Diceros bicornis minor: one gene and its partner. Each later gene encodes a partner of the first gene's protein in a complex. Links are inferred from orthologs where the notes say so. Each region holds a gene or a part of one and is shown on either strand. Other genes may lie near its edges. The genes, in order: SRC and PTPN1.

The links.
Region 2: the proteins of SRC (region 1) and PTPN1 are in contact, whole or in part, in a crystal structure (PDB 3ZMQ), measured with the Homo sapiens proteins. The link is inferred for Diceros bicornis minor from reciprocal best matches to the Homo sapiens genes SRC and PTPN1. Residues at the interface, in NP_005408.1 of Homo sapiens: Glu527, Gln529, Tyr530, Gln531, Pro532; in NP_002818.1 of Homo sapiens: Arg45, Tyr46, Arg47, Asp48, Val49, Asp181, Phe182, Ser216, Ala217, Gly218, Ile219, Gly220, Arg221, Ser222, Gln262.

The regions. Positions count from the first base shown.
Region 1 is NC_080758.1:22,733,659-22,748,945, forward strand, and holds the start of SRC (proto-oncogene tyrosine-protein kinase Src), read right to left. Parts: upstream 5,829-15,287; 5' UTR 5,648-5,828; intron 1-5,647. UniProt on the Homo sapiens protein: Non-receptor protein tyrosine kinase which is activated following engagement of many different classes of cellular receptors including immune response receptors, integrins and other adhesion receptors, receptor protein tyrosine kinases, G protein-coupled receptors as well as cytokine receptors.
Region 2 is NC_080758.1:11,633,727-11,649,517, reverse strand, and holds the start of PTPN1 (tyrosine-protein phosphatase non-receptor type 1), read left to right. Parts: upstream 1-8,172; 5' UTR 8,173-8,289; coding exon of another isoform or gene 8,290-8,352; intron 8,353-15,791. UniProt on the Homo sapiens protein: Tyrosine-protein phosphatase which acts as a regulator of endoplasmic reticulum unfolded protein response. Mediates dephosphorylation of EIF2AK3/PERK; inactivating the protein kinase activity of EIF2AK3/PERK.

The DNA of each region.
Region 1 (15,287 bases):
CTGGGAGCTGGAGGTTCCCTGCACGATCCCAGAACCCCAGATCCAAGTGGAGATCCCTCAGTCAGAGCTGGAAGCCAGAGAGTCAGGATCACATGCCCCAGCAACACGCCACCCTAAGCCTGGGGAAAGACTTCAGCCCAGCTGGTGCACACGCGCTGGGAGTGAGACGCCACAAATCACCCAGAAGCCAGAAGGCTGGGCTCACACTTCACGGTGCTGGGTGACCGTGCCCTAGCCCTCGGCCTCTCTGAGCCTCAGTTCCTCTTCTACGTCATAAAACAAAAGTTCTGCCCACCCATGATGGCGCAAGGGATGGAATGGGTCACCCTGCTATGACCTGGCTGGGGAGGGCGCAACGTGAGGACATCGACATCAGAGTAAAAGTCAAGGCCGCAGATTTGGACAAAGCAGCCCAAGAGAAGATAATCAGACCTTGACGGGGGAGGTCGAGCTTCCCTCCCCAGCACTGGTGTCTGCCCGTCCTGGCCTCGCAGCCCAGCGGGTCTGAGGACCCAAAGGACCCATTCCCACAGTCTCTCAACAGCATCTCCACCCAACACGGGCATCAGAGAGGACTCAGCTGGCCCGCCCCCGGAAGACTTCCCAGCCAGGATTCCTGTCACAGAGCCTCTGGGAGGGAAGAGCCCTCACCGTACAGACCAGGAAACTGAGGACCAAAGCAGGAAGACAGTGGCCCAGATCATCCAGCTTCTCCTCCCCTCTGGCTTCACTTCATTGTAGAACTTCTCTGGGTAGTTCCAAGGGGAGGAGAGGGACTGGGGTCCATGTTGGGGGGAACGTTATGTGCTCAAGGTCTCACAGCAAGGACAGGGGAAATGGGGGTTCCGGCTTCCAGCACTGGGATATTCCCCAGTCATCTACCCCACCTGGCTGTCCTGTGGGAAGGGCAGGCTGGCTGGGTGGGGAGAGCCCTGGATCAAAAGACAAGAAATGTGCATTTCTCGCCCAGCTTAGATAACATGACCTGGGTCTTTCTGGCCTCAGTCTCCCATGTGTGAAAAGAGCAGGTCAGAATACATCAGGAATGACAAACTCACAGCCCTCATACAACACTCCCTAATCCTCTGCCCGTGGCATACATTACTAGTCTATCACATCACTCTTTCCCATGAAGCCAAGACTGGGCCTCAGAGTGTCTCAACACAGCAATCCAGGTCTGGGGGATATGAGCCCTGGGCCATCCCTAGACTGGGTAATGTCTGAGCCCCCACGAGGGAGGGGAAGGGAGAAAGAGGTAACATTTCCTGAGCATCCAGTAGATTCAAACTGCTGAGAGACATCAGCTGATTTTATCCTCACAATGAGGTATGCAGAGGCTCAGGTTCAGAGGGCCTTAGTGCTCTGCCTTTGGACACACAGCTGGCAACGGGACCTTGAACACAGGGGAGCCGTCTCCTGGGGCACCTTCCCCAGAAACAGGGACCCAGAGCCAGCCAGCATGAGGGCCTGAGGAACAGCTTCACCCCACCCTCCCCTTGGCCCTACTAGGTGCAAGTCCTATGCCCATCTGACAGCTTTCGAAACCGAGTCACAGGAAGGGGGTGTCAGCCGCCAGAGAAGGAAGGACTCAAGTCCATGTCTGGTCCTTGTCCGCCCTATTTATCGAGTTAACGTGCGCTAAACGCTGTACTTCAGTGCTCTCGGGACATCCTGGGAATCGTGACTCATATTATCCCACTTCATAGATGAGGAAACTGAGGCGCCCCAGGGGAAGTGCTCCCCCAGGGGCTCAAGTGGAAACCTGAGCAGTTCACCTCGGAGATAAGGGGGTAGGAGCAGCGGAGGGGAAGTAAAGGGCTGCGGGAACCCAATGGAAGATAGAGGCGCGGGGGCCACGTGACCGAGGCAGGAATGAGGCTCCGGCAAGAGGCCCAGAGCAGGGGGGAGGCCCTTTGAAGGAGCTCTAAGGCCTGCAGGGACACGAGCCCTGCAGAGCCCTCCAGCCTAGGTTCACCTTGTCACTCAGCAACCAGGAGACCCTAGGCAAGTGGCTTCTCCTCTCTGGGTCTTAGTGTTTACATCTGGAAAATGGACCAATCTCACCTAAGGCAGGCTTCCAAAAGCTGGGCTAAGCTAGACCACAGGGCTCTCCCCAGTGCAGCCTCCTCGCACAGAGAGGGCAGAGCAGGACTCACATCGCCCAGCACGTGGACGCCTTGCTGCCAGCATCCTTTCCTAGGCCAGTCCTGCCCAGAGCAGCCCCTTCAGGCTCAGTGAGATCACCCACTCAAAGCCTTCACCACACAGCTGGTGAGGCCAGACCCATGGGGCCGATCGACCTGCCCAGTGCAGCACCACACAAGGCAGGCCCCATTTCCTGAGGACCTACTGGTGCCAGGCACTGGGCATACAGCCCTGCTTCAGCCCTCACCTGACAGGGAAATATCGTCCCCATTTTCAAGACAAGGAAACTAAGTCTCAGAAAGATACAGGGAATGACCCAAAGACACACAAGTGGAGACCGTCAGAACGTGAACCTAGACCTGTCTGACTCGTGAGCCCTGACGGTACTTTGGTCTCCAGCTGACCGCCTCCCCCCGCCCCCACCACTCCCCACCTCACTCCCAGCCTCCAGCCACCCTGCATTGCACTTCCCCAACCCCGGGCTCTCACCCTCTCCTGCCTTCCTGCCAGTGAACTCCTATTCTACTTTCAAAGCCCAGCCTTAAATGCCCTTCCTCTTGACACCTGATCTAGGCCCCTGCAGAATACTTGGAGTCCAGCCCACAGATCTATTTCCACCAGATGTGTTGGACAGCTCTGTACTCAAGCCTCCAGCATGGGGCTGTTCACAGAGCGGACACTAATCAGCCCCTTGTGTGAAGATGAAGGCCAAACTCCTCCCCAAGGCCCACACAGCCCACAGGGTCCAGCCCTGCTGTGAACACCCCTCATTTCACCTCTCACCCCCTCCCCCTAATTCTCTGTGCTCCAGATTCACAGGCTTTCCCATTGTTCCTCCACAACAGCACACACTCCCCACCTCAGGGCCTTTGCACATGCCATCCCCTCTGCCTGGTAAGCCCTGCCCCTAGCTCCATGCCTGGCCAACTCCTACGTGCTTCCTTCAAGATTCCTCTGCATCCCACGCCTCTCCCTCTGAGCCCTTATCACATCTGCGATTATATATTCATTTATTTGGCAACTTGTTTGCTACTTGGCTCACCCTCTAGACTCAAACTTCTGGAAGGCCAGGGACGTTCACCATTCCTCTGCAAGGACCCACCCAGGCTGACCACTCCCCACAACCCCAGGGAAGTGTCTGAACAGAAGGGAAGAGAGAGCACTCTCGTCCCTCCTTTGTTGAGCAAACTGCTGCCCCCCCTCAGCACCACCTCCTGGAAGCCTCCGGATGCCTCCCCACAGCTCCCACTGCTCACCCCATCACCACACTGCTGGCCTGAGTTCAAAGCTCCTAGGACACAGTAAGTGCTCAATACAAGGTCACGGAGGCTTGCATTTAGGCAGGTTTGGGGAAATGGGGTCAATTGAGGACCAGGGGGTTGGGGGTTCTGTCGGCATGTCATGGAGCCATCTCCTCCCTGGATCCTGGGGCTTGGAGGAGCCAGACAACCCCTGGCCCCCGAGGTCACCATCAGGGAAGAAGCAAAAGCAGAAACTGGCTGTGAGCTGGGGATAATTCATGCTCCAGGAAGAGGCTAGGGGAGAGGAGGAGAGAGCTGGGGGGCCTTCCTGGAAGAGGTGGGCCTTAAACTAAATCTTAAAGAACAAGAGCAGATAAGCAGCTCCTACATGAGAGGACACTCCGGCAGGGACATCTTCAGGAGCAAAGGCCCAGGGGCCACACAGGAGGGCCTGGGCAGGCAGTCAGCTGAGAGAGGTGACACACTGTAAATCACTTCCTTGGGTGGAAAGACCACATCACCATCTCACCAAATGGGCCTCGTGGCTCCACGCGATCACTCATCGGGGTAGTCTTTTCCGACACTGCCGTGTGCCTGGTCTTGTCCTGAGAAACGCCTGCTCCTCTATCACCCCTGGAAGGGGTCGAGGGCAGCCAGACGGGGGGCTCCAAGGTCCAGGTTCTGATTCCAGCTTCAAACTGTGTGGCCTCGGGGCAGTCACTTCACCTCTCTGTGCCTCAGTTTCTCCATCAGCAAAATGAGGATAAACAAGAGCCCCTACCTCAGAGGAGGCGCTCAGTAGAGGTCAGCAGCTGTCATTACCACGGGCCCATTTTACACTTAACGAAACGAAGGCCAGAGGGAACAGTGAGCTGCCTGAGCTCACACAGCTGCTGGGTGGCAGGCCTGTGCCAGCGTGGTCTCTTTCTCAAGGGGTTATTCTTTCTCAAGAGGCGGCTTTTCAGGCACAAATCCACCCTCTCCTGGAGATGAGCCCCACTAGGCCAGCAACCTCGCCTCCACCCGTTCAGGCAATTCATCCAGGGAAGCGCTCATTTATTGAGCACCTACTACATACCAAGCCAAAACACACAGATTCCTCCCCTGAGGATTCCCATTCCACATATGCAGACTCAGAGGGCAGTCCCTTGGCCCAGGTCGCCCAGTGAGACGAGAAGCCTAGGTGTCCTGTCTCCCCAGCCAGAGGGCTGAGAAGAGGGTCAGCTACAGAGCCAGCCTGGCCCACTGAAACCAAGTCTGACCTCAGCTGCACTGTGGCTGGGCCTGGCCTCCCCCCAGGGGACACAGGGACCACTGCCCCCATTGTACAGAGTCCCTGAGGCTCTCACCCAGGCCCACACACACATGGTCTGTCCACTCTCAAGTCAGCCTGGAGACCCCAGAGGCTGAACTGGTACCCCACAGGTGAGCCCTTTCTCTTCATGCCCATCCTTCCACCAGCCCAGTAATCCCAGCCAGGCCCACCTGCCACTGATGAGGACCTCCAGCTCAGAGAGAGCAGGCAGTTGTCCGAGGACACACAGCAGGGCAAGTGGTGGTCCTGTTGAGATTCAAACCCACTGCAACCCCAGCCCAGGCAGGCAGATGGACCGGGCTTGGTGGTGAGGGCCCAAAACTTTTGCCAACTTCTGAGCAGGCAGGCGGCTGGGCCTGCCCAGAAGCGAGGCTGGGGGCTGTAGGCAGCGGGGACCATGCAGCGTCTGGCCCAGTCCCTTCCAGGCCGGCGGCACCAGGCCCTAGTCGAAGCCCCACGAGGACAGGGTGGGCCTGGTGCCTGGCCGGGCGCCCCCAGCCAGGTACCCCCAGACCCACCCTGTCGGCCCCCCTCCACCTCCCATGCCGGGCCGGGGCGCCAGGCCGGGCAGCCGCGGCCAGAGGCGGCGCCGACCGGCTCAGATATCAGATTTGGCCTAGTGCTGGCCGGGGGCTCGGGCCCGGCTCGCTGCTTCTCAGGGGGCTCGCAGCGGGAGGGTGAGCCGGAGGGGGTCCCCGCGCCGACAGACCCCTGCGCCCCCGCCCAGCCCCCTCCTCCCGCGGCATCACAACAAAAGGCCGCGCCGGGCACGTCCCCGTGCGCCCGCCCAGCGCTCCGGGCTCGCGGCTCGGCCGGGGGTGCGGGTCGGAGGGTGCACGGAGCCCCCGCGGCCCGGCGATCCGAGGCCGGGGGGGGGGGGCCCCGCGCGGGGGCTCCCCCAGGCCGGCGGGGACTCGGCGCCCGCGGAGGGGCGGGGGGCGCTCACCTGGGCCGACGGGCGGGCGGGCGCACCGGCAGACAGACGCACGGGAGGGCGGCCCGCCGGACGGCCAGGGGGTCTGGCAGACGGCGGCCTGGCCGCTCCGGCTCCCAGGCCGGAATGGATTCCGGGCCGGGAAAGACAGATCGAGAGAGAAAGGGAGGAGGAGGAGGAGGCGGCGGCCCGGGGAGGGGAAGAGGAGGGAGGGAGCGCGCGCGCCGGGAGGAGGGGCACGGCAGGCCTCCGGGAGGAGGAGGAAGGAGGAAGCGCGCGGGGACGAATTCCCCGCCGGTGACCGGGAGGAGACCCGTGTGCGGGCCCCCCCACACTCGAGCCAGCGTCCGGGCGGGGCGGGGGATGGGGTGCGGAGGCTTGGGGCACAGAAACCCCGCCCCGTGAGAGCACCCCACCCTGCGGACCCCCGATCCGCCCTCAAACCAAAATGCCCTCCCTAACTCCCCCCAACCCACCTACCCTATTTACCCCAAATCCACCTCTCCTGCAATTAGTAGTAGTAATAATAATAACACCAGCACTAACGGAGCGCTCACTCCTTGCCAGGCGCCATGCTAAGTGGCTCAGGTCGACTTTTAAGATCTATTCCAAACAAGCAGCTGGGCTGGCCAGATGGTTATCTCCATTTTACAGATTGGGAAACTGTGGCACAGAGAAAGGGGTTACCTACAAGAAACAGGCTTTGGACTCTGGCCTTGACCTGAGTTTCACAAAGTGGGGACTGGGGCAGGAGGGACCATGTGGAGAGGAGCAATATTTATTTTAATAAGATATGTGTTCATTTCAATGTGTATAAAACACATAACTAAGGCTGCCCATCAGAAGTCATAGAGTTCCAGATATTCCCGCCTCAGAGGGGACTGCAGCAGGTATTCGGTGACAATTACACTTCCAAGTATATAAATAAAGAGGCGAAGCACATCTGGACGCGGGGGCGAGGGAGTATAGCAGAGAAAGGGGATGACCTGGAGGAAATGCTGCTGTAGGCCACAAAGCCTCCTCCACCACTGTCTGACCCCACCTTACCCCACCACCTCCAGGCCCAGGCTCCGGGGCTGCCCTGTTGGGGGCGGGCACCCCACCCTTGGCTTTTCACCTGTCCTCCTGGAATTATGGCACAGGGGAAGGTGGGCCTGAATCCAGCTTTAAATACCACCACCTGCCTCCACTTTCCTTCTCTGAAATTCTTCCATTTCACAGATGGGAAACTGAGGCCCAACCAGGCCAAATGGCACAAGGCTGGGCTTCTCCTCCTGAGAGGAGCTGGGAGGGGAACCCTAGAATGTGGGAGGCAAAGGCTCAGGGTACAATACAGCGTGCAGGAGTCCAGGAGTGAGCACCGCCTTGAGCCGGACTGATCTGGTTCTAATCTAGGCCAGCTGCCCCCCTGCTGCACCTCGTACGAGTCCATCAATTTCCCCAGCCCAGTCCCCTTGCCTATGAAACAGAGTGAACAAGCCACAGAGGACTCCTGGGAAGGTTAAACCCGACAAGTGTGAGGGTGGCTGAGGTTGTGCCCAACAAATGGTAGCTCTTACGGGTGGTAAACTGAGGCCGGAGGGAGAAGGGGCAGCTTGAAGCCCCACAGCAAGTCAGCGGCAGAGCCAGCACCAGAAGCCAGCCTGGGCTGGGGAAATGGCTGCACTTGTTGGCAAGGCTGGCTTAAAGATTAACCATGGCTTCCCAGGCTGGAGGAGCGGATTTCTCAGCCCTCGCTCACTCCTCACACGTGTCTGAAGGCCTTTCCTGGCCACACTGGGCCGGGTGGGCTGCTCACCCAGGGGTGTGCTGGGGCTGGCTGTTACCACTTGCAAGAGCAGACTGTGTTCATCTCTCCTCAACTCTCGGATCAATGATGTCACTTTGATAACTTGACATCAGCCACTGTAGGAGTATTTACACCTTGGAAATCAGCAAACACTACAAATCAAGGCTTTTTTTCCTTCCAAAGAGCTGGCTTTTAAATATTTACCAGCACATCACCAGATTCATCCCCAGGAGTTCAACTGAAAGTTCTGGGCCACGTCTAGAGCTGGGATGACAAAGAGCTTAAAAGCACAGACTTTGGACCCACAGACCTGGGTTAAGTCCCATCTCTGCCACTTCATGGATATGTGACCTTGAGCATGCCATTTCTCTGAGCCTCGGCCTGCCAACCTGCAAAATGGGCTAAAGACAGCACTTCCGTCAGAGGGCTCCCATGAGGATGAAATGAGGTGCTGCCAGCTCAGCACGTGTGGGCCTCACTATCCGTACCCTACACATTCTCTTGGAGGAGCAGGGACGACGGGGACAAGTCTTGGCTCTGGAAGGTGCAGCCTTCCCCCTGGAGCCACCACTGGCTTCGAGGGCTTGGCTTAGCCGCTGAGGTTCTCAGCGAGCACTTCAGGGAGACGTGGCCAGCACGATGGTTGGGAACGTTTGTTATTTTCAGCCACCCCTCTGGGCCATTGCTCAGGCTGTAACTCCCACCGTATCTCTAGCTTCCCAACCTTCTGTGGCCATCAGGTCCCTGAGTAAATTCCACCACCTCCAGGACATGCTTCCTGACAAACTCCTGATGAGGCACACCCCAAGTCCCTTCAGGGTGTGTCAGTCCCCACCCTTAGGGCAGGGACTGTGGCCTGGCCCGTGCCCAGCACAGAGCAGACACTGCCCAGTCGGCTGGGGAGAACACACTGATTAGGGATCCACATACAAGAGTTCAAGTTCCAACTCTTCCGTTCATTGACTGTGTGACCCTGCCCTCTCTGAGCCTCAATTTACTCATCAATAAAGTGGGGCCACAACCCCACCAACCTCCAGGATGATGTCGATGCGAGAGTTGCTGGTCTGGCCCGGTGGGTAAGTAAGGGACTCTGTGCATTATTTTGCTTAAAACATTGTTTGTTAGTAAAATAGCAACTCATTGCTTAATGCCTGCAAATCATTCATCGTCGTTAATGGAAGCAACTTATTGACCACCGACGGTATACACAGCCCTGTCTCAGGCCTGGAAGACTGAGAAGCACAATTTCCCAACCCAAAGCACCCACAGGTGACAGATGTTATTGATGTCAACATTGCTGAGATGGTGAGCACTGGTTGTACACAGATGTCTGTCTCCAGAAACCTCTTCTTCCCTCCTTCCCCCCACCTGGGTCAAAGCCACAACTAAGGGCAGGATGGAGCATGTGGGGCGAGGCCTGGCCCCTCAAGACTGGCAGCAGACCCACAGGTGAGAGCTTTCCCATGAACTAGGATCAGAGGCACTGCCCGCACCGCACCCCTGGGCCCTGGTGGCTCTGGCTCGATGGTGGCCTATTTGCTAACCCCACCCTGAGCCCAGCTCACCTTGGAGGAGCTGGACCCATCACAGGCACCCAGCGGGAAATTCCAGACCAGCTCTGTCATTCACCAGATGGTTTGCTGTGAGTTGTCTATTCGAAGCCACAGAATGATCTGGACTTCGGGCTACAGGATGAGGTGGAAGAGGGGGCAGGCTCCAGCTTGAGGCTGTGGAATGGGCTTGGCACCTCCCGTGGCACTGCACTTTACAGTTTACACAGAGACGTCCAGTTCCTCAGTGCATCAGCCCGATCTGGCCCTTGCCAGCTGCTCAGGCCTGTCTTGCAGGCCCTGGTCCCCTTCCCTCCTTGTCAAGCCCGCATCCTTGCTGTCCCTCCGTCACAGCAGCTCATTCCCGCCCAGAGGCCTCTGCACTTGCTGGTCCCTCTGCGTGGATGCTGTCTACCCCACAGCCCCTGGCTAAGCCTTACTCTTCCTTTCTCGGGTCAGTCAGTATTTACTGAGCATCTACTATGTGCTAGGGTCTGGGCTAGGTGCTAGGGGGACAGCAGTGAACAAACCAGGTCTGGTCTCTGCCTTAGAATTGCTCGCAGCCTGGAGGAGCAGGGAAGTGTGACCAGTGTGCTAGGCAGAGTGATGGGGCCAGCACCGGGGACTGGAGGGGCCCTAATTCACTATGTGTGTTGGAGAAAGGGGCTGGTGAAGGAAGGAGGTCGTCTACGGAGAGTGTAGAAGACTGCGGGGATGCTGGCAGGTGAAAATGGGACAGAGAGGGTATTCCAGGCAGAGGGAACAGCATGACCAAAGACACAGAGGCCTAAAATACTGCTGGGTTTGGAACTTGGACCAGTGCGGTGCTAATGGAGCACAGCACGATGGGCGGGCTGGTGTGGGGGGAATGAGGTGGGAAGGGTGGCTGGGGTGAGCCCTGAAGATCCCTGAATGCCAGGTTTGGCTTCTGTCCTGGAGGCAGTGGGGAGCCACGGAGCGTTGTGAGCAGAGAAGGGCCTGGGGATCTGTGCTGTCACTGGGTGGAGACAGGTGGGGCCAGGGAGGAGCAGTGTGGAGGCCTCTGCACTGACGGCAGCCCCGGCCGAGGACCAGCCGAGGCGGCGCCCCAGCTTACACTGGCGAGTGTGTGTGGGCACGTACCTATGTTCCAGGGAGCGAGGCCGAGCTGGCCCGGAGGCCGAAGACACAGGGCACTAGACGTGCGTTCCCTGGCCCCACGAGAGTCAGGAGGGGCTGGCAGCAGGTGAGCATGTTTCCTTCAGAGGCAGGTTCCTCCAGCATCCGCCCTCCAGGGAAGGGATGGAGACCGTGGGCACCCGAGCGGGTGGAGTCCAGGTGTGACCTGCAAATGGCGGGGTCAAGCACGAGTACTGGCCCACACGGCCAAAATCCTCAAGGCCTCCCCTTCTGAATTGCACAGCCAGTTCACAGATGGGAAGCCTGAGGCTTGAGTGCCCACTTCAGAATCTAGAGACAAAACAGGGGATGTCACAGGCATGTGACCTGCCCGCATGAAAGTAGGGGAGACACCCGGCCCCGCCAGGCTCACGTGACGGCCGAGCGCCATGAAACTCGGCCATTCATCACGTCACTCCCCTCAGGCCACAGTAGAGGCCCAGAGACAGACTCCGCCAAGCTCATACAGAGGCAAAGCCAGCCCCCCTCCAGCCCAGGCCTCCTTCCGCCATGTCTCAGAATGTTTGTGAGAAAAGATAAAAGAGGCCAGGGCCCTTGATCTGCCTGGCCTGGCAGGAGGGCAGAGGGCAGGGCGGAAATCTGCAGCCAGAGCTGTGACCCCTTGGATCAGAGGGGGCTGGAAACCCACTGAGCAGAGAGGAGACAGGCTGCGACAGGAGCGCTTCAAAGAACAACTGTAAAAATAATCATCACAGCAACAGCTCACAGCCACTGCGTGCGGGGTTTCCTGGGCAGTGCCCTGTCCTGAAGGCTCTGCGTGTGGCGTCTAGTTTATTCTTCACAGCAGCACGAGGTGGGAGCTATTTTATCCCCATTGGACAGATGCGGAAACTGAGGCGAGGTGGGCAACATGACACAGTGATGGGGGGCAGGACCTCGAATCCAAACCCAGGCAGAATTCAGCCCCTCCTGAGCCTGGCACTCAGGCGTCGCGGTTCTGTCCTGCCCTGCCCCTCTGTGAGCCATGGCCTTCACATATTTCACGTCCAAGGGAAAAGCAAGACCCACGGAGCCCAACCCGGCCCCTATCCCCACCCCTCCCCGAGCCTCGGCTTCTGCCTTGCAGAATGTCTCCATCTCCCACATTTCCCAGGCCTGTCGGGAAGATGGAATGTGGCAATGCTTTGTGGGAGGACTTTGAGAAGTAGATACTAAAGAAGAAAAAATGCTAACACTATACCCACCCTCCAGGAGGGGAGCAGAACCGCCCGCTCCTTAGGTGAGGGCTGCCATAGTGACCTCCTTCCAAAGAGGACGGCATGGGGCGGGGTGACTTCACAAAGTGGAGAGGCCTGACAGCCTGCCTCAGCCAGGTGACCAAGGTCAACGACAACAGTGGTAAGTCCTGGTGATGGTGCGTCCCCTTGACGTGATGTGATGAGAATGGCACTTCACCTGCGCGGTCTTCCTCCCCAGAACCCGTCATCCCGGTGTCATCGTGAGAAAAACATCAGACAAATTCCAGCAGAGAGACGTTCTACAGGACAGCTGACCAGCGCTGCTCAGAACTGTCAAGGTCAACAACAAGGAAAGTCTGAGAAACTGTCACAGCTAAGAGGAGCCTAAGGAGACATGAGGAAATGTACTGTGGCCTCTTGGATGGGATCCTGGATGTGAAAAGGGACGTCCAGGAAGAAACAAAGAAACTCTGAATAAAGTATGGACTTAAGTTAATAATATAACCATATTGGTTCATTAGTTCTGACACATGTACCGTACTGATGTAAGATGGTGATAATAGGGGAAACTGGTTGTGGGGTGTATGCTGTGTTATGTTCTGGAGCAAAGGACAGATTTTAGGACAGGCAGGAGGCCAAGAGAGCTGTCTCTAAACATTTCCTTCTAAAGCTGGGGAAACTGAGGACTGGAGAATGGAAGTGACTTGCCCAAGGTCCTACTGCAAGTTTATGACAGCCTGGACCAGGATCAAAGTTTCTTGACATCACAAGAATTTATTAAATGCTTACTGTATACAAGGCACCAGCCTAGGTCCACATCATGGTAAAAGCAGGTGGAGAGGTTCAAAGGCTTGTCCATGGGTCAGCCCCTCCTCTGGGCCAGGTGTCCAAGGACACAGATCCTGCCCGCTGGGGGCTCTCAAGCCAGTAGGGGAAACAGATGCTGAAACACCCTGAGCAGGAGAGCCAGAGAGCCACGAGCTTCTGGGTCCAGAAGAGCCAGTCCCACCATCTATAACCCATGTGACCCTGCTACGCGTCACTGTGCTGCCGGGTGAGATGGAGCTGGTGATGGTATGACTCTCGGTGATGCTGAGAGGACCCAGGGAAGTGTTGGGGCTGTGAGGCATCTAGCGCAGCTCCTGGTGCACTGAGTGCTCAGTGAACAGTGATTCTCTTTATTTATTTTTAAGTGCAGCCTGAGTCTGGAGCTCAGAGAAGGAGCTATCTGTTAGTTTGCCCTGGTAGGGGTTTCTTGGGGAGCTTCCCAGACAAGGGACATTCACTTGGGTCTTGAAGGATGGGAAGGAGTTTGCCAGGCAGGGAGGATGTGGAAGCTACAGCCCTGGCTTCCAGAATTCACGATCTGGCCTGGCAGAGAAGGAGACGCGTCAGGCCCCTCTCCCAGGGCATCTGCACGAGACGGGACTTCCCCATTTCCTGGCCTTGATGCCTCCTTCCTGGCCTCCGTGGGCTTTGGGGTTCACCATTGCCTGAGCTGAGGGCAGAGACAGCAGGCGATGGGCAAGGGTGGGGCGGGCGCCGGAGCCGAGGAACTCCAAGACTCGTCTGGAAATGAAACCAAGCCCTGCCTCCCACTCACCGGCTGAGTGTCGCTTATACAACTTCCTCCTTCTGTTCCTGTTCAGGAATTACCCAGGCAGGGCTCTGTGGTGGTTGGGGGGTTGCCCCAAAGGCTGGGCCAGGAGCTTCCGTGGGTCTACTCTGGCCACTCAGACTCCCAGACCCTGTGTCTGGTCGGTCTTCTCATTGTCCTGTTCCCGCCCTCCTCATAGCCTCTCTCCTTCCCACCTCCACACATCTCCCTACGCAGTACCCCCCGCGGTGTCCTCTCTCTCTGCTTGTCCAAACCACACTCGCCCTCCTCGGCCTACCCCAGGCCCCTCCTGGAAGCTTCCACAGAGACCTCTCCCCGTCCTGGCCTATCCATTCACACCTCCTGCATGGCAGGCCCTGTGCTGGGGTTGGGGACAGATGTAGCAGTGACCAAGACTGGCACAGCCCCTGTCCTTTGGAGCCTGGGCCTCTAACCTCTATGTCCTGTGCATCCCGCCTGCTTTGTCCACGCCCTGGGTGAGGAATCGGCAGCCAGGACCCAGTCTGGTGCAGCCTCTGAGCAGTGTGGCCTTGGGCAAGTCCTTTCCCCTCTCTGGCCAGAGCTGTTTCCATAGCTGCTGAGGGAAGAGGTTCAATGACATGTCCAGGGAGGCTGAAGGGAATGGGCAGGAGGGGTGGTGAGGATTGCCCCCACCTCACCCTGCTGACCCCAGTATAAAGCTTCCCTCCCAGTGGAACTGGTAAGATGCATACACAGGGCTTCAATTCATCAGAATTTCTGGGTGGAAATACAGGGGGCAAAAGGGGAGAACACCATGGTTAAGAGCACTGTGGAGACCTGGCTTTGAATCGTACCTCGATAGCTGTGTGGCCTCGGGCAAGTCATTGGACCCCGCTCACCCTCCCTTCTCTCATTTGTAAACTGGGGGTAACTGTACCCACCTCACATGGCTGTCTAGTGATTAGCATGACACGCATATGCGGGATGCTCAGTAAATGGATATTACTGTTTACTATTATTATTATTATTATTTCTGGTGCAGCCAACCTAAGATTCCATTAATAGAGTGGTCAACTATGGCAGCCTTAGAAATAACAACGTAGATCTATACATTTTGCCATGGAAAGAGTTCATGCTATATTAGTAAATTAAAATGTTATAGTATTAACAACGTAATCCCATTTCTGTTAAAAAAAAAAAGTGGGCATAGGAAAAATAAAAGGGATAAACACTGCCATGTTTCTAGCACTCGTCCCAGGGATGGGGGGATCACAGATGAGTTTAATAATTTTTTCTTTTGTGCTTGTCTTTATTTTTTAAGTTTTGTTTCTATTTTTAATTTTTTCTCTTTTATTTTATTTTATTTATTTTTCCCCCCAAAGCCCCAGTAGACAGTTGTATGTCATAGCTGCACATCCTTCTAGTTGCTGTATGTGGGACGCGGCGTCAGCATGGCCAGAGAAGCGGTGCGTCGGTGCGCACCCGGGATCCGAACCTGGGCCGCCAGCAGCAGAGCGCGCGCACTTAACCACTAAGCCATGGGGCCGGCCCAGTTTTCTTTCTATTTTTAAATGTGCTCATGTTACTGAGGCAATAGAAAGTAGTATAGATTATTTTAAAAGTGCCGTCACAGCTCCCTCTGATGACAGTGGGTCTTTGCTCCCCAATTGGTCTGGACACCCAATGCGAGGCCTGGTCCCAGAGCTCCACAGCTCAGGGCTCCTGGGAGCCAAAGCCCTCAAAGGTGAGCTGGTCCTGCACTTGACCTCTCCCCACCTGCTCTGGGCCGGCCCCTCAAGGTACATCTGCCTGGGATCCTGTAGCTCATCTTGCTTCTGGCCCCACCTGATGAGGCAGAGAGAAACTCCCAGGGGAAGTGCCCAGTTCTCCCCTGTGACGTTTTGGGAACCTGCTCTTCCCCTTCCTCTCGGCCTTGGCTCGCCCTGTTTATGTCCACAAACCCTCCCAGGGTGGGGCAGAGGCAGGTAACCAGCGGGAGAGGGCTCCTCAGCCCTGGGCCTGAATTTGGGGCCAAGGACACAGCCTGTGCCAGCCCAGGAGGAGCCCACAGTCCCGTGGCTTCAACGAGACTTTATCTTAGTCGAGTTTTCCCTAAGCAGAGCCTGAGACAAGTACCCACTTGGGAAGTGATCCCAGAAGGCACAGAGAAGGCACAGGAAGAGGCAGGGAAGGAGAGAAGCCAATATAAGGAGTGTTATCCGGGTGCCCGCAGCAGGCGACAGGAGCCCCATTCCTCTGAGACCTCAAATAACTTACAACATGCCTCCCAGACACGTCCATCTGTCCTAAGGAAGGAGGCTGGAACCTTTCTCCCCCATTCCTGACCCCTTTGGCTGCAGGATGTCCCCAGGGCTGT
Region 2 (15,791 bases), about 11 Mb from region 1:
CTGCTCCACGTCCCAGTGGCGGGAATTGTGTCACCCGTCCATGCTCTAACTGCAAAACTGGCTGGGAAGAGGAACATCTCACCTTTCCAGTTCTGTTATAATGGGTGTGCTCTGCCAGCCAAGAAGAAGGTGGAAGGGAGTGATGAGTAACCAAAAGTATCTGGCAACCAAAAGTATTTGCCTCAGAAGGGAATTAACATTCACTAGGCACTGTTTATAACCCCAGCCGTCCCCAAAATTTCCAGCTTCCCCTTTAATATCTGACTAATAATAGGGCCCCATGACTCTAGCTTTTATCAGGTTCTTTCTGGAGGATATTACTCAGAATGGGGGTTGTTCGCACGTCCCATGGACCATTCTTGGGGCTGCTTGGCATCTGTAGTGAGCCATCTCTCTCAGGACTTCTCCTGCCCTTGTCTGCCACTCTTTACTGCCAGCACCAGATGCTGCTCCTGCTCCCAACACCGTCTTGGCTGGAGCAGGTACCCAGCCCTCTTCCTTAACATCCCCCCAAAACATGGCTGGGTTAATTAGAATATAGGTTCGATTTCTGTGACTGAGACTCTGACCAACAGTGGCTTACACAAAGCAGCAGTTTATGTCTAACAATCAGAATGACGCCTATAAGCAACCAGGATGACTGGACCCGTGCATAGCAGCTGAATGCCAGCCCTGCTTATGTCTCTCTCATGTGACAGTCTGTGGATGATGGGGCAGATCCACAGGGTCCAGGTCCCAGGCACCTCCTATCTTGTTCTTTTCCATCCCTTGCATGTTGTGCTTGTCTGCACAGTTCAAACTGGAGCCCACTATGTCCCATTCCAGGCAACAGGATGGAGGAAAAGGTGGAAGAAAGAACTTTTCCCTCCCAGCACCCCCCTGCAGCACCCCCTGGGCATCTGAAGTCATGATTTAGAAGTGGACCACATCACCACCACCCACATCTTATTGGCCAGCATATAGTCACATGGCATATCTAGCTGCAAGGGAAGCTGGGAAATATAGTCTTTAGCTGAGCAGCCATGTGCACAGCTATAATCCTATTTCTATGAAAGAAGAGGAGAATTGATATTGGGGACACTAAATATATTACCTCAAAGCTAGGATGAGCCCATAGCAGGGAACAAAAGTTTACTGAAGCTATGGGGATAACAATGAAGAGAAGGAAAACGCAAAATGAAATTGTAAATAAATAGCTTCTAGGGCCCAGGTACCTGCATTGCGCTGTCCCTCATGCTGGTCTTCACCCTCCTTTCTCTCCAGCCTGCCACCATGTTGTGGGGGCCAGCCTACCTTCCCTGGAGGGAGGCTTCTTGCCCTTTCTCTTTAGAATTTAGAGCCCTCTTCTTCCTCGCCTTCCCCAGATACAAGCAGTGGGACTATCCGGTCCTTCAGAGGAACGCTCCATCCAGCGTGTGGTTCCCCACGGCCCAGGGGAGGCCAGCATGAGAGTCGTAAGCACATTCCCCCAAGCCTGGGTCCCTCTGCTCTTGTTCACTCCAAGTGTGGGTCCTCTCCATGGGTCTCCCTCCAGCACAAGGGGAAGAATATTTCAGGCCAGCCGCCCCCCACCACCGCTCCCCACACAGTTGGGTCTCAAATGGAACACCATTTCTATCTTCAAATACAAAAACTACGGGAGCAAATTCTTGATCAAAAAGATACACATCTCTTCCAAGGACTACCAGGAACACTTCTATCTAAACGTAACCTTGGAAGTTAACTTCTTTTCTCTAAAAGGCTACCGTCCTGCTACAGACACACTCAACTTACAGACATTATGCCGACAGTGCTGTGTGGTAGTAGACAAGTTACATAACCACGCTGTTTCCTCATCTATGAAATGAGGTTAATGACAGACCCTCTCACAAGGTTGTTGGGACGATCTAGGGAGATTATGGAGGTAAAGTGCTAGTTAGCAGAGAGCCTCGCTCACAGTAAACACCCAATACATGTAGCTATTACAATTATTATTACTAAACAAGAGTGAACAACTCAATACAGGGAATCTGTATCTGGAGAAGGTCACTGTGTTAGGACTTCCCCCGAGAGCAGTGGTTCCTCCCAGAATAAAGGAGAAAGACCATTTCCAACTTCAAAGACAGCAGCTGCTTCTACCCCCCTTCAAGAATTTGAAAATCTAGACCTCGTCTCCAGAACTGCCTACATAATTTGCAAAGTCCAGTGCAACATGAATATGCAGGGCCCCTTGTTCAAAAATTATTAAGAATTTCAAGACAGCAACAGCAGAGCATTAAACCAAGTGCAAGGCCCCTCTGAGCGCAGGGCCCGGTGCACCTGGCCAGATTGCACACACGCCCCCGAAGCTTGCCCTGCTCACCTCCACCAGCAGGACAAAAACTAGAGATGCAAAACAGCAGGTTGCAACATATACTACGAAAACATCTGGAGGCAGATGGGAGCCTGCTTTTTCCACTCAGCAACCTACACAACCTTAATAACAACAGCCACATTTATTAGGTCCTTGCCATGAACTAGAGACCATGCTGAGACACCATCTCATCCAACCAGCACATCCCTGCCTTAATGTAAAAGGTAATGTAAAGATCAGAGAGGGTAAGAAACCTGTCCAAGGACACACAGCCCAAGTCAGCCAGATTCCAGGACCTGCACCCAGAACCACCATGTGTGCGATAGGAGTGTCCCCCTACCTCCAACCCTCTAAACTGGAGGGCATCACAGTGACCTCTGAAACCCTCCCAGACTCCTGCTTTGCTGAGAGCATGGGGCCAGGTCTAGTTTCCATCTTGGATCTAACTTCCCTCCTCCAACCTTTCCCCAGGCCTCTAAGCCTCCTTTCTCAGAACACACGTGACCCTCCTAGTTCCCCCTGGGCGCCTTCTCCTCCCCGCACTGGGCAGTCACCCTTGCAGGACAGGCAGCTCTGTATTAGATTTATGTATTTAGTGGATGGAGTAAAGTCTAAAATATTCTCTGGGGGTGGAGGGGTGAGGGAGTCTTCATAAGGCTGAGGAAGAACCCAGTGAGGATGCGAGTGAGGATCTTCTGGGGTGCTCACCTTCCTGAGAGTTCTGAAACACTGCAGAACTCGTACGTCTTAGTAGAATGTCAGAACTGGAAGCAGCCCCTAGAGCTAAACTGGGTTCAAAGCCTGGTTCCACCATTTCTTAGCTGTGTGACCAGAGGCAAGTTGCTTAACCTTTCTGTGCCTCAGTTCAAATGTGGGATAATAATAGTACAGGCTTCACCATGTTGTTGTAAGTAATAATTATGTTTACTATTATTATCTCTTCATTGTTGTTATTATTTGTTTAGAGCTCATGAGAGTTCTTGGAGAGACTGGAGAGCATCACGGCTGAGAGCACAGATGCTGAAACCAGACTGCCTATATCTAAATCCCACTTCACTACTTATAGCTGTGTGACCTTGGTTAAGAAATTGACCTCTCTGGGCCTCAGTTTCTTCATTTGCCAATATTTCCCTTGGACAGAGAGACTGGCTTAGAGATGGCTTCTGAGACTCAACTGGACCAATGAGATTGAAGGCCAGGACTTGTGCTGGGACCACCAGGGAAAAGAAGCCCTCTTTTCTTTGGGGTTGCTGAGCTGGCAGGATGTGAGCCTGGCACTGCTGGGGCCATCCTGGTTCCCTCAGGAGGAAAGCCTGCCTGAGAGTGAATCTAACACATGGGGGAAGCAGATAGAGCTGGAGAGAGAGAGAGTCATGATGACACGGTTGGAGCCCCTGGATACGGCTGTGCCTGAAGCAAGCCCCTATTGGACTTCCCAGTTTCGTGAGGCCATAAATTCCCCATTTTGTGAAAGCCACTTTCAGTTGGGTTTTTCTTACTGGAAACCATCCGGGCTGACCCCAGGAGGTTAAGCAACTTGCCCAAGGCCTGAAAGCTAGTAAGTAGCAGACACAGGGTTTAGAAGCTTTTACCTGCTGTGCTCAGGCCAGCACTCTGTATTTGGATGTTCATTGATTTCACTTCCTTATCCTCTCTGAGCAGCCATTTTCTCATCTGCAAAATGGGATAACACGAGGCTTGCAGGGCTGCTGGGAAATGTAAAATGCAAGATAACACTGTTGCCTAGCGCTGCCGTGGCTGGAGGCGGAAGCTCTGTGAACCCAGTTTCCGGTGCTGTGGGCCTGGGCGTGGTCCCGGGCGAGTTATCCCAGCTCAGGGAATGTCTCTGGCTGACCCCACATCAGCCAACCAGTCCAGGCGCCCAAACTCTGCTAGGAGAGCGTGTGTGAGTCTCAGAGGGAAGGGCCACTTCCCTTCCTGGCTGTGTGTCCTCCCTGGTGGACAGAGGGAGCTGGATGATGAGGACCCTCGAGCTGAGTCCACGAGGTGGAAAGAAGCCCTGTCATCTTGGTTTCTGGAACCTTCCAAGGACTCATGGTCTCATCTGGGAATGACTCGTAGCTCAAGGAAGACAGCATTGATCCAAATCGACTTAGTTTCTTTTCTTCACGCACTTTACATTTAGTAGTGGAGACGGCCGATAAACACATGAAACAAACACATTACATAACACCACGTGGTAACAGGGGTAGAAGGTACATCCTCCAATGCCTGATAAGTGCTAAGCAGAAAAAGGACGGAGTGACAGGGCTCTGTTTATTAGGAGGCGTCAGGAGGGGCCTCCCTGCGGAAGTGACAGTTCATCAGGGACCAGTTTGCTCTGGCTCTGCCTCCCCAGCTCTCAACACTGCTCTGTCTCCCAGAAAAGAGACTGGGACGAATTTTACTGGGAAACTTGCTGACACTGCTGAGTTAGGAGTTGATGATCCATTGGAGGCTTGGTAAACAGCCATCCCTCTCCACCAACAACTCTTTCGGACATTTTTAAAAGTTTAATGAGTCATTGATTTCCTCCATTAGCTAAATCCTTGAAGGGAAGGCCTGAGAAGCCGCGTGAGACCATCCTCAGGCACGCCTGCCAGGAAAAGGTTTTAGCTATCACGACACACTGCCATTTGTTTATTTTCTAACCAGTCATCACCGACAGATTCCCAATCATCACTATCACATCTCCGGAGGATACCAGGGCTTGGCTGGTTCTAGGCCAAGCCTTGGCTGGGAACCGGCAGAGGTTTCCAGATGAAAGCTAAGCCTCGGAGAGTCAAGGAGGATCCCAGCACCTCGGGCCCCTCCTCCAGGCCAAATATCAGGTGCTTGGAACACGGACGAGAAGTTGAGGGCCCTGCCCTCATGGAACATTAAAATGGGGGGCAGGAAAAGGGAGCAAGCCAACAAATAAACAAACGGGAATTTTAGACAGAGAAGAGTGCAATGATGCAAAAAACAAGGTCTGTGGTAGAGAGTGACTGGGGGCTATTGTAGAGAGGGTGGTCAGAAGATCTGTCGGTAGAGGTGACATTTGACCCGAAACCTGAAAGGTGAGAAGATCTGCAAGAATGGTCCGGAGGCTAGACAGGAACAGGTAGAGGGAACAGCTGGTGCAAAGGTCCTGAGGTGGAAACTAGTTTGAAACATTAGAGGACTGGACTGGAGTGGAGTACAAGAAGAGAAGAGAGTTTGAGGAGGTGGGCAGGGACAAGGTCACATGGGTCTTATGGGCCAGGGTCAGGACTTTATTTGGGTTTCATTCTAAAAAAGATAGGAAACTATTGGAGGATTTTACATAGAAGAGTTTCATGATCCAAATATTAAAATCTCTCTCTGGCTGCTGCTATGTGAAGAACGGATATAATGGTGATTAGCTGATACCTGAAATTAGGGGTTTCCTTCAGAATCAGTATTTGTGACAAAGTTTCACCCTCTGCCACTATAGTAGGTTGAGTGGGGGCCCCCCAAAAAGGTATGTCCAAGTCTTCACCCTCAGAACCTGGAACATGACCTTATTCAGAAAACGTCTCTTTGCAGATGTAATTAATTTAAGGATCTCAAAATGAGAGCATCTTGGATTACCTGGGACAGCCAAATCATCCTGGATTAGGGTGGGTCTTGAATTCAATGACAGGCATCCTTATAAGAGTGAGGCTGAGGGAAATCCGACAGATGGAAAAGACACAGAGAAGAAAACCACGCAAAAACCATGAAAAACCTGGAGTGATGCTGCCACGAGCCACCAGGAGCTTCAAGAAGGATTCTCTCCGAGAGCCTTCAGAGTGAGTGTGGCCCTGTCAACACCTCGATCTCAGACTTCTGGCCGCCAGAACTTTGCAAATACATTTCTGTTGTTTTAAGCCAACAAATTTGTGGTGATTTGTTACAGCAGCCCTAGGAAACTAACACAGTCACTAAACAGCCCAAACTTGAACCCTGCTTTAGCCTCCTGTAGCCCCCTCTCCCCCACCAAGATCCTGTGCATAGCCTTGGCCCCACTCAAAGGCCACTGCAGTCACTGGGTGGCCCTCCCTGCGGGCCTAAGGGCCACTTGGGCTCCAGATGGGCATTTTATTTATTTACTGACTTAGCTCAGCCCACAGAGATACGAATGAGCCCACCCTGTTCTCTCTTCCCCCAAGGAGCTCTCAGCCCTGTGAGTTCAGACAAACTAGCACTCAGATAAACCAGGGCAGGAAGAGAACATCAGCCTGGAGAGTCACTAACATGGCTAAGGCATAAATTAGGCAGCTTCCAAGTGTGGGTTTCCCAAACTTTTCACCAGAATGGGCTTCTGTTAATTTCCCCACCATGGAATACTCAGTTTCTAAAGACATTGCCTATCAAACCAATTGCATTTATTCAATAAGAATTTATTTACCTCTCCATTTGCAATTATTCGAAGGTGTATAATAATGAGGGCTATTTATTGATCTACTCACTATACTAAAAGCATTATATTTACCCCTTCAATCTTCACATTGCCCCTACGAGGCAGGTACTTCTATTATCCTCATTTTACAAAGGAGAGAAGAGAGGCAGAGAGAGGTCAAGTAATTTGCCCAAGGTTGCACAGCTAGTATGTAGTAAAGCTGGAATTTGGACCCAGGCAGCCTGGCTCCAAAGCAAGCACTCCCCTGGAGACTAGATTAGAATGCTGGCTTCCACACCAATGACCAGTGCTACTCTGGACAGTGATTTTTGCCTCCCTGTGCCTCAGTTTCCTCATCTATATGATGGGAACAGTAATAGTGCCTGTATTGTAGGGTTGTTGGAGAGGTTAAATGAGAATGTGTACACAGAATGCCATGCACAGTGCCTGCCAAAAGCACTCAAGGAATGAGCTGGAATTCAACCAGTGACCCCAGGCAGCTGCTCTGGGCAGGCTTGAGACGGGAACAGTGAACAGAGATTCGGTCTTCTAGGTTCTCTGAGGTGATGGAGTTCACAATCTCCATACCATGTGCCAGGCTGGGAGCTGGATGGCTTGAGGTGGAACCCGCAGAAAGGCAACCTGATCAGCCCTTCTCATATGTGCTTCAAGGACCACAGGTATAGAATTAGCTGGGGTTGCTGGTGAAAAATACAGATTCCTGGTATCTGAACCCTTTGGAAGTGGGTCCAGAAATCTGCGTTATTGAACACACTGATGCACCATGGAATGGGTGCTCTACTGAGTCCAGTCTGAGCAGGATTTCCTTGCTACTCTGGGAAATATTGAAAATCATCCCAAGACCCCCATCCATTCTCTCCTATGGCGCCCAGGATAGGAGACCCCCAAGGGAAATCTTCCGTTTCACGCAAGGACAGTACCCTCAGAGAGCAATAGGCCTTCCCCAGCAGCCTGGTGAAGCACGAAAAAAGGGCAGATATCTAACCAGAGGCGGGAGGCAGGAAGTGGAGCATGCAGCCCTCCGCCCATACTCCAGCATGGAGCACTGAGGCCAGTGCCCTGGGGCTGCAGGAAACATGCATGACCACTTCAAGGTCACTGTGTGACTCAACGGGCGGCATCGAGGCTTGAACTCAAGATCCGCCGGGCCATTGCAAACCCACCCGCCGTGGGCGGGGCTCCCGGGGGTTGCCTAGACAACGGCGCCCGCCACGCCCATGCCGGGAGTCCCGCAGGGGAGAAGGCAGCGCACGCTGCGAGATGTCTCGCGGGGCTGCGGCTACTTCCCTCGGCACCTCCCCCGGCCCCGCCCCGCGGAAGTGCTTGCCGACATTCTCGAGCGCTGATTGGTCCTCCCGCTTGAGGGGCGGAGCCCGCGGCAGCGCGGTGCGTACTTCCGGCTGCCGGGTTGACATGAAGAAGCAGCGGCGGCTAGGGCGGCGGTAGCGGCGGGAGTGGAGGCGCGGTGCGCTCGGGGCCGAGAGGGCGACGCGGCCTAGAGCGGCGGACGGCGCAGCGGGCCGAGGAGGAGGCGCGGCAGCCGCCCTGGCCCGTCATGGAGATGGAGAAGGAGTTCGAGCAGATCGACAAGGCCGGGAGCTGGGCGGCCATTTACCAGGTGCGGGAGCGCCCGGCGCGCGGCGGCCCTTCGCTTAGGCCGCGCGGACCTTCCGCGAGACCCCGGCCCCGCTCTGCCCCGGGCCGCCCTCCGCCTCGGCCGGCCGCCCGAGGGTTCGCCCCGACGGCGGGGGGCCGGCCCCCTCTCCCTTTGTCCCCGGCGGGCCTGCGTCTCGCGGCCCCCCGAGCCCCCACCCACCCCGTATCCCCCGCCCGGTGACCCCTCGGGCCCGGCGGCCGCCCGCCGGTGCTCTCGGCGCCGGTCCTCGCACCCTGACCCCCGCCCCCCGCCTGTCCACCCTTTGTCCCCTGGGGTCGCTGGAACACCCCCACCACTTCCTTTCCTGGGCTGGACCACCTCGTCCTCTTTTCCTTTGTCTCCCTGGGGGAAAGGCTTTCTCTCCTCCCTCCTTCACGTTTCCTCTTCTCTAGTCTCTGTGCGTCGAGTCCCGGGGATGACAGTCCCTTCCCCCTTCCTGTTCATTCATTTCATGGAGGTGAATTGGCCTGCCTGTTCCGTGCTGGGCACTGCCTAGGCGCTGGAGGTAATGTTTGCCGGACAAGAGGACAAGACCCCCTCCCCCCTGGAGCTTAGAGTTGAATAGGGCAGTGAAACACGTCAGCAGGTAATTTCAGGTGGTGACAAGTGCTGGGAAGGAAACGAAACATCATAATGGGGTGGAGAGTGACTGCATAGAAGGTGGGCTGCCTCGGAGAGGGGCGTCAGGGAAGACCTGTCAGAGGAAGGGACGTTTGCTCGTGAGCTGAATGAGGAGCTGCAGCAAGCCCTGAGCATATCAGGCTAGAGAGCTTTCCGGCCAGAAGGCCTGCGGTACCCACTCCACTGGGGCCACGGTATTTCCCTTTCAGGCAGGCAACAGGGAAGGTTAACGTTTTTGCCCCATCTAAAAATAGCATCTCTCCCCGGTGAGCATCTTGTCTTTTGGTCATGGCTGAGATGATTGTGTCTTTCTAGTCTTCATCTCCTTGTGGGTTATGGGGGTTCATAAATAAAAAGTTAGGAAGATAGGATTTCTCACATGTCTCTACAACATCAGATTAAAGACGCGAAGAGATCTGCTTTCACAAGCAGTTAAGTCCTCTAAAGAAAATATGTGCTCCCGATTAAATGTCATTGCGGGGGTTGTGAAGATTAACCAAAACCACACTCGGTATTTTAAATGGGCGATCTGCAGAATAGAGAGATTTTGTTACTTGTGTAAAGGGAGAAGGCAGTTTATTCTGCTTTTAGCTTATAGGCTCAAAAGGCAAATTGTGAGATCCATCAGCTGGTAGTGTTAAAATCTATTTTGAGCTCCACTTAAAAAGGAAAAAAGCTTTAAGCCGGTCTTTGGTATGCTTGACTAACAAAAGCCTTGTTTTTGGCAGGCTGGGTTTCATGTGGATTTGCATCAAGCTTATTTGACAGGATTCTTTTTACTTGGACTGTAATGTGTATTAACTTCTGATAGACTAATATTTATAACCACTGTAATCTGTATAAGTACGATCGATCAATATATAAAATTTGTATTCTGGATCTAGTCTCTCTGAGTTAGTTGAATGAATTCCGCTAGTGACTTTGAGAATGTGTAGATAAATTTTCTGCATCCAGTTTAATGCAGTGGAGTCTCAAGTGGCTTTAAATGAAAAAATTGTGGGTCTAAAGTGTTCGAGTTGATTATGATTTACCCCATCACAAGTGGAGGTGGCTTCCAGGAGGCATGGGGACATTGAGTTGGCAACAACAAATTCATATTATAAAAAGTTCTTGGTTGAATTTGATTTCTTAGTATTTTAGGGCAGAGTCTACCTGTCACCCAAGCATTGTTAAAACTGTGTGAAGCATGCCGCTAGCGAGAAGCCTGTTGGTCTTCAGTTAATTTCCCTCCTTGTTCTTGTCTGTCTACCAAGGAGTTAGTCAGTTTGCTGTGTGTTGAGATTTCCCCAGCTTCTTAATGCATTGCCACGTTCCTGCAAGTGGTTTCTTTTGATCTTAGAGAATTGTCCACTATGGGCTTTCTCATCTCTACTGTACAGATATTTTTTTTTCTAAAATTGCAATGAGAAGCTCTTCTCCTTTTTGACTTTAAAAGTGGCTCTTTATTGGGCAACTGTGGCATTTTTAGAAACGTAGAGTTCAAATGACCTTGAGTCTAAAGTGGCATAGTTTCCAAAGTGTGTGTCAATTTACCAAAACTGTTATTTTTCAAGAATTCAAAGAAATGTGTTTATGGGTGGTAGAAAATGGCAGTTAAAAAAATTAATATTTTTTAGCATGTCACAATGTGGGCAGACTTATACAAAGTCATTTTGAGCTTGCTTAGTCTATTGTTATTAGAAGAATAACATGTAATTTTTGCCTAAAATTTTGTAAACAAGGCAGTGCAATTATTTCTCACTGTACTTCTATCTAGAACAAAAAGATGCAAAAACTTGGAAACAATTGGGAAAAGAACAAAGGGTGAAGTAGACTTTCAAATGCTGAGGAATGTGGTAGCTTAGAAAACAAATGTTTCAGACAAAGAGTCTCCACTTACGCTCGCTCACTTTGATAAAGTGAGCATAAGTTTTAATTGTCTTAATTTTAATTGTTAATGCTAATAAACAGCATAGATACTAATAAGCATTCAGGTCTATAAAAAGTCAGCGTTGGCATATGTAGATGGCTTTAAAATTGTTTTCTGTCATTTAAACAATTGTATGTCTGGTTTGAAAAGTGGAAGTAATATTTAGTGAGCTGGAGCTTGCGTTGGTTTGATTGTCCGAAAGAGGAGAGAACACAGACCGGGAAAAGGGATTGGTTTTTGCAGCTAAAATGAGAGAAGAGGGGGCCGGAATGAATGAAAACGGCTCAGAAGCTGCCCTCCATTTGTAATTTACAGTTGGGGTCAGGTGTTTTTCTGTTTCTCTCATCTCTGATTCTTTGATTTCTCTGACACTGTTCTGTTCGCTACTTTTTGTTGTGAATGATTTGATTGTTTTCAGATAAAGGAGATTGTAACAATAGCTCGTGACTTGAGGACAAGATTTATTCCGTGTTAGAGGCAGGCTTTGTAAAATGGGCCACTCTTCCCCTTGACATTTGTTTTTGTAGCTGCTTTTATCATGAAATACGATGTGATGCCTGACTAGGTTGAAGCCATGTTATAACAGTAGTTATTCCTCACTGCTGCATACAGCTCATGTTGTTATAGTCCAGCAAGATGAATATTAAAATATCCCTATGATGTTTATTTAAATAACATTCTCTACAGAGGAAAACTGTTTTGTGCAGAGGAGAAAGATCTATACACTGTGACTCACTGTACTTGAAAAAAAAAAAGACAAACGGAAATGACATGGAGAGATTGGGAAGTTCTAGTCATCTTGGGTGACCCACTAGATCTAAATGTTCTTCTTTAGCCCTGGTTTGAGTGAACTAAATTTAGGTGTCTGATCATCACGTTGGAAATGGTGTAAAGACCTTTGTAATTGTCTGCACTCATATTAAATTAACTGGAGCAGAAGTAGAAATGGTGGAGGGAAGAACTTTTTCTATCATTGTTTGTTTGCCAGCACTGGCATATTTATAGGAATACTCTGGTATTTTTGGAAGTACAGAAACAAAAGCCGGCTGGGGGATAATGGTAGCGCAAACGATTTTCAGTTACTAGTTATCTCTCATTGGGCTCCATGGCCTCCCCACTGCATTTTGCTTTTCAGCATGAATAGCTCCTCCAAAACCTATAAAATTATCTGGTATTTAATAATGTAACAATGTATACTGAATTTCATGATAGAAACAAATTTAAAAATTTCCTGTAGGGGTTTTTCAGACTATAAACTGATGAAATAACTCTTTTCTTTCTTTCGTTCTTTTCTTTTCTTTTTTTTTTTTTTTGAATTGTCTGTTTTCTGATCTTTTGGATTGAAGAATGCTTTTGGCAGTTTTGTCCTATGCTGTACTTTTAATTGCAGGTACTTTTCTCGTAAGCCTCCCTGGGCCCATTTATGCTTTGCATGAGCTGGCATTCCTCCCCCCAGTGTTGAGGTTAATTCGTTCATGGTGACCAACTCATAATACTGACAAATGGGCTGGGTGTGCTTCTTTATACTGCCCACATTCAGCAAGATGGGAAGTCTAGCGGGGTCGTTGTTTCCAAGACAGTGTAGTTTGGTACCAGTCATTTGATGTGCAGTTTTGAATATCGAGGAGTGCTGGGGACTTGGCCAGTTCTTGATTCCCTCTGCCACATTTCATTGATTGGTCACCGTGGCATCCTTTCTACTACCCCCGTGGTCTGGGTTCTCCAGTTTTGCCTATAATACTCCTGTAACACTGCTGTTGTTCCTAGTTTCACCCCACAGAAATGAGTGAAACCAGTAACGTACTAATATGGCCCCTCAGCAGTCTGTCCACATCTCCCCTCAACCCTGCTATGTATATGCTTCACATGATCACTAGAGTAATTCCCTTAAAACAGACCTGAGCCTCTTCCTCCTCTGTGTAACTACTCCTAGTGCTGTCATAGTACCCGTAAGATTCAGACCCCTGGGCATGGCAGCTGGGTTCAGCCATCCCCTTTTCTGTACCTTCTGTTCTGGCCACACCAGCAGCGTTCTCCAGACTGATCCTTTCATTCCTCTGTACCTTGGCTCAGCACTTTCTCTAGGCTGCCTTTCCCACTCATCTGGCTTGCTTCTCCCAGCTCAGATGTGTGCCTCCTCGCACTAGATTTTTGCTCTCTCACCTGTGTGTTTCCGTACGGCTGCGTGCGTGTCTCTCCTAAAGCGCTGCTCTGGTGGGAGCTGTTTCTTTGTATCCAGGCCTGTCTTCTCTTGAGTCCCAGCTGTTGGGGTCAGCTCTTTCATCTTTCTCGTTCACCATGGCGTCCTCTACCCTTGGCACACAGTGCGGAAGAAACGTTGGGGTTGAGTTGGTTGACAGCACTTTGCCAGCCCCTGACAATACAAAGATGAACAAGACATGGTTCCCAGCTCCCATTCTGGGTGGGAAGGAGTGGTAGAAATAGTTAGATCAGGCTGCTTTAGTACTTACAGCAGAGGTCCCTCTGGGAGAGAACCACCACATTTTGAGCCATGGCCTGATGAGGCGACTTAGTATTGCCTACTGTGGTGGCCTGGAAGAAAGGCTTGAGTCTTACCCAGTAGAAGTTGATACCACAAGTTTGTTTCTCAGGAACTTTAAATTTAACAGCAAATTTGTACTTGGCCTGAGGTGAACTTAGGAAACTGAGAGGTGATATCGCTGTCTCTCTAAGAATTATTGAATTGCTCTCTCCTCATCACTCTTGACCTGTTCCCACATGCCTTCTAGAAGGGCTTTGCATGTCATTTGTTTGTAAAACATTTTTTGACTGGGATATAAAATATGGTTCTTAATAAAGTAACAACCCTTACCAAGTCTGTGATTTTTTTCAAAGTATAAATGGTAAAGGCAGACATTTTTGGCCTTTGATCAGACCACCCTTTGGGCCAAGAGAGTAGTTTAATCTTTTGCGTTTTCTCTGGTCTCAGCTCTAATGCCAGCAACGCTGACGAGGTCCCTTCCTTTCTTTGGCTTCAGTCCTTTCCTTTGTAAAAATGCTCCTGGACTAACTGATCACTAAGTTCATGTCAAGTAATAAAAGTCTTTAATGTACTCACGAGAGAATTTAATGTGCCCGAAGGAATCTTTGTAAACGCTGCAGTGGTTACTCAGTTTTGTAAGGTGTGTGGGTGTCAGTGGGTGCAGTTAGGCTCAAAAATTTATAGGAGTTTTGTGAGTATAGTGAAAGATTCAAAAGAAGTGAGTCTTTTTTTCCCAAGAGTTTTATTTCCCCAAATTAAACATTTTTAATAAGTAGGGTTCATTTGATATAGTAATGTGGGAAAATGAGTAGCACTGACATAGGAGTTACGCTTGCAGTTTTTCTCTAAGTAGCAATTGGGTGGTTTTTCCTGTAAAAGATAGAGGAACTGATTCTTGAGAATTTACGAAAGATTCAGCCCCAGCTAGGTACGTGAAGAGTAGCTGCCCTTTATGTTGTAATTTTAGAAAGAAACCTACATCTGGTCTAAACTTCATTTGAATAGTATAATAGTTTACACAGCTGCCATGTTTGAGAAGAAAGTACCTAAGTCTCCAGTATTTGAAATAATGCTTTACTTTTTAGAAGTGGGCTTCATAGTTCATTAGCTGCTGCCCTCTCCTTCAAGGCAGCTTGACAGAATCACGAGTATCTTACTGGCAGTTTGTAAGTTTTGCATGTCTGAAAACTGGAAACAAGACCATTTCACGTGGAAGATTATTTTTTCCCTGAAATAAATAGCCAAAGAAAATCTGGCCCCCCCAAATCAGTTGATCTTTGGGATGTGGTACAGGTCACACTGCAGACAAAATTATAACTACTGATGAATGATTTTCAGTATTTTTTTTTAAATGTGTGATATGATTCACTTTGCAGTTCTGAATGCTCATGATTCTACCAAGGCAGTAAAATTTTATGGATACCCCGTGGTACTTAGAATTGGTGCTGCAAGAAATTGGTTCTGCATTATGGACTCACAAAGTAAACATGGCTTCTTTAGCAAAGTGACGCTTAAGGTCTGTATTTTCTCTGGAAACTATGTATTCCCTGCTACTCTTATCCTAGTAGTGTGCCAGGAAATCCTGAGTCCTAACTGAGGCTTAAGCACTAGTTGAAGTAAACCTTTGGACCCAGGTAGACTTGTGTCCTGGGCCCCTTCTCTTCTACTTGTAGAGGTTTCTTCTCAAGACTGAGTGCGGTGTGTTTTCTCTCACAGATGAAGAAGGAAAAGCCTCGGCTGTGCCTGTGGCTTTTGTGGGTGAGCGACACCACTTGCACAGATAAGATGAGCATAGCAAAGCTGTTTCCACAGTTGTGTTTTTTTAATGTATTAGTTAGTGATTAGAGAAGGAAAGCTCTTTGTTATCTCCATTACTCTGTTATGAAACGTTTCTCCACTGACTTTTTCTCTTACTTTATGGATCTTTGATTGGTACATCTTTTCCTTTTGAAGAATCTCATTTGAAAAATGCCACAATGAGTTCCAGCAAACAGCTTCACTAGTTTTTATTCTGATGAGTACTGATTACTCAGAGAATTATACACTATTGGAGATTGCTTACAGGAAAAGAGAACATCAAGTAATTATTCCACATAGTTGGAGTTCTCTTAAGAACAGGGGGTTACTTAAAAATGTCTGTGGATGAAATCACTTCTGAATATAACTTTGCTCAAGAAAACAAGTAGGCAGGCTGCATTTAGCATAGTACGGGAAATTAGCTTTAAATTCCCCTGATGGTTGAACATTTGTCACTGTTATATTTATCACTTTTAGATTTTGTACTGCTTCACTATTTAAATAGTCAGGGCGTAGTTTGCTTCTGTAAGGATAAAGGCAAAGTGTGCCTTCACTGGGTCATACATATTT